Linked DNA regions of Ovis aries. The protein of the gene in region 1 interacts with the protein of each later gene in a pairwise test. Links are inferred from orthologs where the notes say so. Each region holds a gene or a part of one and is shown on either strand. Other genes may lie near its edges. The genes, in order: FABP3, SHTN1 and NUP62.

Region 1 (4,233 bases):
GATCTCCACTGGCTCAAGTGCAGTTGGGCACCATTCCCTTCCGTTTTGCCTTTTCCTTCGTAAGTGTGTGTCATGTTCCCAGTTGTCTTTCCTGAGCCTAGCCCAGGGCCTGGCACAAAGTAAGTGCTTTAATAACTGTTAGATTAAAAGAAGGAAGGGTTCCTCTAAACCTCAAGTCTGCTCCTCTGTAAAAGGGATAATAATAACACCTACTTCAGGAACTTGGTTTTAAAAGTTCAATCAGACAATGCACTTAAAGCCCCCAGCATGCAAAAAAACAACACAAGGTGGATCTTATTATTAAAAGTGCTTTGGAAAGTGTAGTGTCAAACAAGGTAGATTAACGACAGTCTCTGAAAGTACAGGCTGCCTGTGGAAGGCTGACTGCCGGTGGAAGGTCAGAGAAAGGACGACAGCTGGGGGCCAGCGGCAGTCAGGCAGAACGGAGCTGTCCTTGAGCCTTGAAGAGCCGGCTAAAAGGACGGGCATTTCGAAAGGAGAGTGAGGAGGCAACGGCCGACAGGAGCAAAGGCTCGGAGCTGTTGCGCACAGGTCAGAAAAGCCTGGCGCACGGGCAGGGTGGAGGGGGAGCTGGACAGCTGGGCGGAAAGGCGCGCGGTAGACATTCCGCAGGGAGGGGCGAGCACGTGTGGGGCAGACGCGGGGCGACGGACAGGGTCACGCTTTTGCTGGGGGCGAGCAGAGGGCACACGTTGCCCCCGCTGCCTCTCCCCGCCATCGGGCAGAGTGGGGAGCGGTGGGAGAGCACGGGGTCTGGGACCAGCTAGACCAGGCTCGCCATCTGGACTCCCCATTCACCGTCTCTTTATTTCCTGCGAACTTGTCAGCCCCACGCTGAATCTTGGCTCCCCTCACCTGTAAAATGAAGATCGAGATGATGCCAGCGCCGCCAAGAGTCGGCCAGCGCTTTCCCGGCGTGGGCATCATGCCCAAGGGCGAGTTTCCTTTCTCCTCTGGTTTCTCATCTTTGTTCTGACCCCAAGCTCGGAGAAGGACCAGGGGACGGATGTCGGTGGCCTGCGCCCCAGCTCGCGGACACCGTGCCCCCAACTGCTTCCTTCTCAGATTCCGAAGAGCGCCTTGAGGCCAGGGAAGGGAGCAGGGCTTACCAGCCCGGGGCAGGGACTCGGAGCCCGGGACCCGCGCTGACGTAGGCAAACTGGGCGCCACCGGCTGCCACTTCGCCGCTGGTAGCATTGGGGGATGGGCGACCAGCCCGGGGCGAGAGAGGGCCTGCTTGGGGCTTCCTATTTCGGGCCCGGGGGTGTGGGCCACGCCCCGTCACGTGACACAGGGGCCTTTTAAAGCGGCAGCGCGGGCTGGGAGCTGCTGGTCCCAGCGTCCTTGCACGCGTTCTCTGTCGTCTCTTTCCCGACCTAGCCCAGCTTCACCATGGTGGACGCCTTCGTGGGTACCTGGAAGTTAGTGGACAGCAAGAATTTCGATGACTACATGAAGTCACTCGGTGAGGACGGCTCGGGATGCTGGGCTTGGGATGGATGCTGTGCTGGGGAGGGGCTGGCCGCGTGCCCGATCGGAGCAGTTCTCTAGCCCTGGCTAGATCCTGTATGCCTGCTGCATCCCTCCTGGTCAAGGATGGGGAGCCAGGAGACGCGGAGAAGGTGGCAGCCTGGGCTAGGGCATGCGAGGCCTGTTGGGAGGGGGCTTTTTTTTTTTTTTTTTTTTTGCCTCCCCGCGACACATGTGGGATCTTAGTTCCCCATTCCAGGATGAACGGTTGCCCCGCTGCAGTGGAAGCGCGGAGCCCCAGCCACTGGACCGCCAGGGAATGCTGGGAGGGGACTTTAACGATCTGAACTTGGTCAGAGAAATTCGCAGGCAAGGAGGCGCCAGGGGGCCGCTGTGTCGGTCGATGTCGAGGGGCAGGGAGGCACTTTCGAGGAATTAGGGCTTAGGATCTGGAGGCAGGGGTGTGAGTAAAAGAGGAGCACTGATTGAAGGTGAGGAGGGAGGAAAAGAAACGAAACATGGGCAGTTTAGGAACTGGAAACTGAACCATGAAAGGGAATAGAATGGATGGGAAGTGTCCTAAGGTATAAAGTAGGTAGTCCCCAGGAGAAAGATGGAAGGGGGAACAGCTGTGAACAGGCTTTGAGGAGGTAAGATGAGCCTGCAGAGTTAACAAGAACCTCTGTTCCTCTTTGTTGGGTTAGTTAGGGTAAAGGATTGTTGCTAGAGGTTGCCCTTTCTCACCAACCAGCCTAGTGGTAGGGTAGGGCAAAAGGCCCCATCATCAGCTGCAGCCCAAGGATAACTTGCTCACTGGGAAAAGTATCTGTTTAGGGGGTAAAGCAAAGAGGCCTGAAGCAAAGCCAAGAGCTAGTAACAGCAGGGAGGGTCTTTGGCCTAGGAGGGTGTGGTGCCAGGATGGAGGAGAATGAAGATTCAAAGAATCTTGCAGAGAAGGACTCCAGAGATCCCCATGCCTTGCTTCAACAGATGGAGAAGCCAAGATCCAGAAGAGTAGAAACTTGTCAAATCAATTCCACAGCAGAGCTGATGTGAATACCTAGATTTCTAAATCCCGACAACTCAGAGCAGTTCCCACTATAGGCCCTGGGGGTGGGAGTAATAAGAACTGCTTAATTCATCATTGACCTCAGCCCTTCCCCTTCTGATACGGGCTAGAGGGAGAAGGTCACATTCCTTCTCTGGAATCTCCAACTATGAGATTATCCCAGTTCCCCAAGCTGGGATGGGGAAAACTGGAATGTTCATGGTTGAGGTAGGTTCCATGCCTTCCTCCCAGGGGACAGCTGGATTACAGCAATTAACCAAGGAGGGAGGGGATGGGGGCTCAACCCCAGGCACTTCCCACCTGTTCCTGACCCCTGAAATAAGCACAAGTGTTGACTTTTGAGGCCAAAGTGCTCAACTGCCCCTCTATGCTAAGCACTATGCCCAATGGCTCCAGGAAGGCAATAATTCTTAGAGAAGTAGGAGGCCCAAGGCAGTTGGTAGGGAAGATAGGATGCCCAGAGCTAGCTCCACACCCTGAATCCCCAGTCTCTCCTAGCAGACATTAGAACTGAAGACCTAGGTCCCTGAAGTGAGTTGCACCATCCTTACCACCCTTGCTCCCTTATTTTGCCCCAACTTGGGTTAGGTCTAAGAATCCACCCAGCCTGCTTGTTGTACAGATGGAAAAAAATGAGAGGCCTAAGGGGAGAAAAGACCCTCCTCAGCTCTTAGTAAATAGCTTCAGCTTCATTTCTAAGTGGAATCTGTCTCTTCCCAGGTCTCCTAATTCTGTAACTTGCTCTTAGCTCAGTCCCTCACTGACTCCACAGTGCCTTCCTTCCTCAAACACTCCACACCTCTGGGTAGGTCCTAAGTAAACAGAGCTCCTTGCGCAGTGACAAGGTCCTGCTCTGTGCTGGGGAGTGGGATTAGCCTGACTCACTCTGATAACAGGTGCGTGATCAGTTGTGTCCGACTCTGCGGCCCCATGGACTGTAGCCCACCAGATTCCTCTGTCCTTGGGATTTTCCAGGCAAGAATACTGGAGTGGATTGCCATTTCCTTTTTCAGGGGATCTTCCTGACCCAGGGGTTGAACCTGCATCTCTTGCATCTTCTTCATTAGCAGGCAAATTTTTTGTTTACCATGCGCCACCTGGGAAGCCCCTGATAACAGGGGGCAAGGCCAAATCCCTCAGTGGCTAGGCAGGGTGGGCCAGCAGCAGCACAGCTGCCAAGGGTGCCTGAGCCTCTCTTGTTAAACCAAAAGTTCTCGGAGGACGAAGAGGCCCAGCCTAATTAGTGTCAGTGTCAGTTAGTGCCGCCAAGTGGCACACTTGGCGGGCTCAGGACCTCGATGAAGTGCATGCTGGGAGACAGGGTGGCCCAAGAGGAATAGTGCAGTTTTGGAGCCTAAATTCAAATTTAGATAAACCACTCATCCTTTCACTTTGGACAAGTCACTTCACTCTCAAAGCCTCGTTTGTAAATTGGGGATAATAAAGCCAACAGTTCAGGGCTCTTATAAACATTAAGTAAAACCACCCGTGAAGCCAGGCATATCAGGGACTTTCCACCCACCACCTCACCAAAGCCTCTGCCCTTGGAGAATAGCTCAGCAGAGACTGTTGGAAGGGGAAGTTGGAGGCAAAAGGCCAGCTATGAGGGAAACCATGACCTGCAGGGCTCTTTGTTGCACGCTCTCTTGCAGCATTGGGGAAGCCTTGCTGAG
Region 2 (3,649 bases), on another chromosome or scaffold:
CAAACAAACGGGGCAGCTAACAATTTGGAGATTTTGATTTAAAGAAAAAAATCCTGACATGCTGCCAATTTATAGCCCTTAAATATTATTTGAACTGACTCAAAATATAACCTATTTGAAAAAGGGTTAATTCTAATAATTTTCTCTCCAGAGTTGTGGGTGTTTTGTTTCTTAATTTATTTCATATTTCATATTATTGAGATTAACTGAAAACTGTGTTACTAGAGTAAAAATATTAGGCACTATAAGAGCAAAAGCTTCTGGTGTTATATTAAAGTTACTTCTACTGCTCAAATGTTAAAAAAATAAAAAATACATGGACTAGCACAGTACTTAAATTTATACCCAGGCCCACATAGTTTTGCCACTTAGCTTTTAAGTGCTTTTAATTTCTTACCCTTCTCCAAGGACAATAAGACAAGCTCTATATGGTTATTTACTAATAAATTAAATCAAACTTTTTACATGAACCCAGATTAATGAAGGGGCTCTCAAGACACTTATTTCAAAACCACTTTCTCCACTGCCAGACTAATCTTGAAAAAGAATCAGAGACCATACTATTCAAGATCTAACAGAAAGGAGAAATAGAAACAAAAGGAAAGCCTTTAAACTTCCTCTCCCCATTCCTGCCAACATAAATACAATTTTTTCTTAGGTGAGAGGGTAACAGGGGCTTCCCAGGTGGCTCAGTGGTTAAGGAATCTCCCTGCCAAGGCAGGAGATGCAGGAAACGCAGGTTCAATTACAGGATCAGGAAGATCCCCTGGAAGAGGAAATGGCAACACACTCCAGTATTCTTTCCTGGGAAAGCCCATGGATAGAGGAGCCTGGTGGGCTGTGGTCAGTCCATGGCATCACAAAGAGTTGAATACGGCTTAGCAATTGAGCACACACAGGGTTAAAATGGCTTTCTTTTTACTTTCTTCTTTATATTTCCAACTGAAGTTTTATCTATCAGACCAACAAATATTATTCTTGACATATACAGTAAGTTAAAATGCTCCAATAATTACCAAGCCCTAGACTGTTTTCCTACATCCTAAACTATATGTGTGTGTTTATTTATTAAAAGAGTTAATGTGTACTTCACAGATGTATTATGTGGTTTTGTCTTATAGAATCATTTGGGGACCAACACAGTTGCTTAATACTACATATTGCTTCTAGTTCATTGCCTGAATCTTAGGAGAAGTTCTTAGAGGGCAGAGACAAAGCAATTTCGGGAGGTATCTTCCCCAAAGATTTCAACAGAGAAATCCGACTAACAGAAGGTGTTGGCCAAATAAATCTTTATTCATTCTTTCTTTCATTTAACAAAAATATCTTAACACACAGTCCTATCCTTAAGACATGTATAGGTTAACTGACTGTTCCTGTCAAGATGGCGCTTTCAAAAGTATCTAATCCCAAACAAGAAAGTAACTCATAAAGCTACAGTCATCATGATTCTCAACCAGACTACCCTCGGGGACAAATAATCAGAACTTTTTTCCAAAAAAGGACACAGGCATCAGTATTTATTGAAATCCTTATGTAATTTCAATGTGCAACCAGGGTTGAGAAGCATTATCCTAATAGAAGTCAAAACCATGTTCAATAATTAAGCCAGGAATCCTACCTTTGATCTGCTTCTGACACTGTACTGAGACACAAGTCTTGGCAACATCCTCCGGGTCCATGGCTGAATCTTCATCATCAATGTTAATCTCCTCAGTTATTACATCTGGTCCCAGCTTGGCCATGTATAACATGCTGATTCTTTTCAATGCTTTATTTTCTTTATTTAACTAAGGCAAATATAAAGACAGTTATTTTAATAGCAAATGAGTGTCTTGGGTTTTTATACAACAGTCAAATTAAGTGTCTTTCTGTCTACACATGCATCAACATTCACAGCATGAAACAGAAGAGTCACTAAAGATTATTTTATTTATACTTTTTAACATTAAACTAATTAAGACCTATGCCTTACATGTGAAAATGCTAGTTATAACGGATAAATACAAGAAGAATTAAGATAAAACACCAGAATAGATTATATCGAATTTCAATTTATCCAGTCATTAATAGTCCTAATTTAAGACACTTTATTTGGTTTGATGCTGTGCTGTGAACACCTTTTATGTGTTTGTCCCACACTCCCTGTTTTTGAGACACTGCCACTGGCCTCTTCATGTTCCACACAATTTCTGGAACAGCCAAGTTCTCCCAAAGCAATTCCTGTTCTCCTGGACAGGAACTCCTGTCCATGTGTCTGGATGTACAGTAGCTACTGGCAACCACACCACACGACTCAACTGAGGAATAGAGAAAGGCAGTCTGCAGCAAGGCCAAAATGGAGCCACTGTGCAGAGACAGAGAAAAGCAACAGACACTGGGTTTCCCACAGGGTTCCAGTCTATTCCTAAAATGCGACCAGCTCATGGATTCTATGGGATTCTCCAATATCGCTCTGAACAAACTCCTACTTTTTTCCCCCTTTTCTTGCTTAAACTAATTCAAATCATGTTTCTGTCTATTCCTAGAATTCTAATGATACACAACAGAAGAAAGTTCAAGCTATGTTTCTATTATCTCTATGTCATTGCAGATAAAGCAAACCTAATTCACTGATGTATTTAGCACGCCCTTTATGTAAAAAAATGAGTTGGTTGTTAATTATCATTACCTTCTTTAGCTCCTGTATTCATGTGCGTATAAATGTTATACAAAGCACACATAAAGACTAAACCTGATCCAAAGTCCACTGAAGGAAAATATGATTTTGCTTTATTCCCAAGACTCAAATATGAAAGATCTTCTTATTTAAGTAGGAAGTGTTTAGTAGATTGCTTTCTCTAGTATAAAATGTAAGATACAGTAATGTGCTTGCAGTTAGTAAGGGCTGTTGGCCATCAAAACAAGTTCTGAATTTAATAACTGACACTGAATATAAATACAAATAGAAATATTTCACCAGAACACTAAAGGCCCTTCTCCATGTAAACCTTACACCAGAATAAGATGTTTAGTATGGCACTTGTCTGGCTTTGGTCCTTCATTTGTCATCATGATTAGGACCCCTCAGGATTTCTCTCAGAGAAAGCCCAGCCCATATCACTAGCAAGGGCTGGAACACAAGAGGGTCCCTGACCTCTCTGGGGAATCAGGAAGGATCACTCAGGAATGGCTATGAACTCTTTCCTGGATTCTTCCTGGGAAGGCTGGCGAGATCCATTCAAAGAATCAGGCACAGACTTTTACTCCCAGTCCCCAGATATAGCTCCAGCTTCTAGCTCTCCATATCACAGGAGAGGATCAGAAATATGATCAGAGACCTACGATTTCCCAGTCCCTCCTCCTTCAGATGGACAATTCAAGTAAGCACTGTCGTGGCTTCTTTGAACATCGATGCTAGAGCACGGCACTAGAGGCTCAAGGATCACTGTCAATTCTCAAAGGATGATATCTTTTCAGAATGCAGGGAAAAAAGAATAATTTAAGAAAAGAGTGGAAAAACTCAAGAGCTAATTTGTAATTCTGCCTCCTAATAAACAAATGGTTCCCAGCCCAGCACATTACAATCTGTAGAGTTTAAAAAAAAACAAAAAAAAACTTCCCATATTTGACCTGAGGAAGCAGGCCCTCCCACCAGGCCAAAAATCTC
Region 3 (2,832 bases), on another chromosome or scaffold:
AGCCAAACACAAAGCCGCCGGGTGCCGCGCCCTGGGCGGAGGTGCTGGTGCTGGCGCTGGAGACGGCACTGCTGAGCGTGCTGCCCCCGAGCCCGAAGCCGCCGGGCTGGGCCGGGGCTGGGGCCGTGCTGCCCAGGCTCAGCTTCGGGGTGTTGCTCCCTAAGGAAAATCCGGTGGCTCCTGCTGCAGGCGTCGTGGTCCCGAAGCTGAAGGCCGGGGTCTGTGTGGCGGGAGTCTGGGTGCTGAGTGAGAACAGGCTGGTGGCAGGGGTGCTGGCAGCCGACTGGGAGGGAGTCCCAAAGCTAAACCCACCAGTACCGGACGTGGAGAAAGAAAAGCCCGTGGCAGGCGTGGTCGTTGCGGTCTTTGTGGTGCCAAATGTGAACCCTCCTGTGGAGGCCCCAGTGCCTCCAAAATTAAACCCGCTCATGGCTCCAGACTCTGGGGGCAGCAGCTACTCCGGCTCCAAAGCAAATCCACCGGTGTCTGCAACCTTGGGAAGATTTGCAAAGCAGAGGAAGTGACATGATCAGACGGCACATCTGGAAAAACCACCTCAGCGGCCTGATGGAGCTCAGTCTGCAGGGAGGTAGGCCTCAAGTCTGATAAGCGGCCTCCCACTCCTCTTCCTGCTGTGGAACCTAACCAGGCCCTGCTGAACTAGGAAAGATGGGCAAGGACGTAAGGCCCCCGCCCTGGGGGGTCTAGCAGAGTCAGTACCAGCAGGAGGCCCACTGCTTGTGGCAGGGGAGGCTGAAGAGGTGCTTTTCTCCCTGCTGACTGCACATGGGTGAGGGGCAGGCTGACTTGGCACCACCCCAAGAGTCCCTCTGGACCTCAGAGACAGGCCCCGGGAAGCTGAGTTACGACAGGGCCTTGGGTGCCAAAGGCTCCCTCTGGGCACACCCCGAGCCGGTTTAGGAGGAGAGAGAGCACGCGGGCGCAGTGCTCAGAGCACCTGGTGCTTGGCCGCAGGGACTGGTTTCAAGGGGCCGTGGAAACTCAGGCTGGCCAAGAGACCGCCCCACCTGCAGGTGCAGGGCACGGAGGATGAGCATCGGGGGACAGTGAGCGCCGCCAGAGAGAGCAGAGAGGAGAGCAGGAAAGGGCAGAGAGTGAGAGAGCCGCCAGAAACCGTGGTCCTGCTCAGCAACCCCACCTGGTCTTCATTAGAAGCTCGGGGAGCCAGCACATCCCTGTTCAGTGAAAGGTGACCGCTTTTTATCTGAAAAAGCCCTGAGCAAAGCTATCTGGTAGCTGCAGAGTCAAAGGTGACTTGGAGAAGAAAGAGTTGGAGGGCGTCCTGGGTAGAGGCATTTTCAGGGAAGTGATCACAGGCTAAGCACTGCCTGCTGGCGGGCTGCTCACGTAAATGACATCTCACTGCTGTCTGGAGGTGGAGATGGTGTCCCCACGTCCAAGATGAGGAAACTGGGACTCAGGGGGCTGTGGTGATCTACTAGGAGCTGAGCCCAGGCCACAGGCCCAATCCACCAAGCGCCCCGTCCAGCGCTGGCACCAATTACGGGGTCAACTGGGCATCAGATATAAGGCAAGCTCTGCATCCTACCGATACAGCCTCTTAACTATACTCAAGAAACGCTGGGAATGACAACAGAGAGGAGCAGAACACAGATTCACTACAGCAGTGTGATCTCTGCTATGGAAAAACACAGCTACCCTCAACAAGGAGGGCTGGAAAGAAATACACCGAGATGCAGGACTACACGCGGATGACCTCCCTGCTAATCTGCAGTAGCTTCCAAGTGCTCATTCCTGCCTGTACAGTAAACATAACTGATAAGCTAGGGTTCTGAAAACAATCCTCGAGTGTAAATCCACGCTGAAGAACCAGCGAACCTGTGCAGCCGGGTTCTAGAATCACAATATGAGCGGGACAGACGGGGTGAATTACACCACCTCCCCCAGGCTGGCACTCAGCCACATCTGGTCTTGGTTGTGGGGCGGCGCTGGATCCCAGCGGCTGTGCTGAAGGCAGCAGGGGAGCCAGCGCGTGGACGTTACACCAACACCAGGACCAAACATGGCCCTCCAAAGACACGCAGGCCCCGCCGCCCGGAGCCTGGGGCCAACGACCCTAAGTGGCAGAAGGAATTCTCAGACGTGACTAAGGATCTTGAAATGCGGAGGCAGAGACAGGACTAGAGAAGAGACCACCAGAAGGTGGAAGCGGAGGCTGGAGTAACGTGCCTTGAACTTGGGAGACAGAGGACGGCGCCACAGGCCAAGCAGTGCAGGTGGCCTTTACAAGCCGGAAAAGCCAAGGAAACGGCTCTCCCCTGCAGTCTCTAAAAGGAACCAGCCTTCCTTGATTTCAGCCCAGTGAGACCGATTCTGGACCCTGATCTCAACTTCAAAAGAATGAAGGTGCATCGTTTCAAGCCGCTAAGTTTGTGATATCTGTTGAGAGCAGTACAGGAAATGAAGACAGCTGGGGAGCAAAAGTGCCTGATGGGTACGGGGGGGAGCCCCGTGACTCTGGAGGACCCTGAGACCCAGCGCCCTCGTCAGGAAAGTGGAGTGGCTGCTGCGGGCCTGGAGCGTGGCCAAGTCAGGAGGGTGCGGTGCTCAAGGCCACGGTCCCCATGCAGACACACGCCGCACTGTCACCTCTGGAAGCCAGGGAGCAAGGGAGGGAGCCCTGAGGGTCTGTGAATCCAACCCAGCTGGGATGTTCTCAGGAAAAGACTGTGGTGGTAGCTGGCCTTGAGTCTAATGTGAACTCACGGTCGGCTACCACTGCCCTGCGGAGCCCTGGGCTATGTGACCCATTCCCGGTTGAGACAAGCGTGGTCCGGGGGCGGCTGGCTC

Evidence for each region.
Region 2: the proteins of FABP3 (region 1) and SHTN1 interact in binary tests that used the Homo sapiens proteins (3 or more experiments, as listed by UniProt). The two-hybrid records come from large-scale screens. The link is inferred for Ovis aries from reciprocal best matches to the Homo sapiens genes FABP3 and SHTN1.
Region 3: the proteins of FABP3 (region 1) and NUP62 interact in binary tests that used the Homo sapiens proteins (3 or more experiments, as listed by UniProt). The two-hybrid records come from large-scale screens. The link is inferred for Ovis aries from reciprocal best matches to the Homo sapiens genes FABP3 and NUP62.

Annotation. Positions count from the first base shown.
Region 1 is NC_056055.1:236,034,027-236,038,259, forward strand, and holds the start of FABP3 (fatty acid-binding protein, heart), read left to right. Parts: upstream 1-1,349; 5' UTR 1,350-1,413; coding exon 1,414-1,486; exon of another isoform or gene 1,487-4,233. UniProt on the Homo sapiens protein: FABPs are thought to play a role in the intracellular transport of long-chain fatty acids and their acyl-CoA esters.
Region 2 is NC_056075.1:36,865,539-36,869,187, forward strand, and holds part of SHTN1 (shootin-1), read right to left. Parts: intron 1,791-3,649; coding exon 1,622-1,790; intron 1-1,621. UniProt on the Homo sapiens protein: Involved in the generation of internal asymmetric signals required for neuronal polarization and neurite outgrowth.
Region 3 is NC_056067.1:55,982,570-55,985,401, forward strand, and holds part of NUP62 (nuclear pore glycoprotein p62), read right to left. Parts: intron 494-2,832; 5' UTR 431-493; coding exon 1-430. UniProt on the Homo sapiens protein: Essential component of the nuclear pore complex. The N-terminal is probably involved in nucleocytoplasmic transport.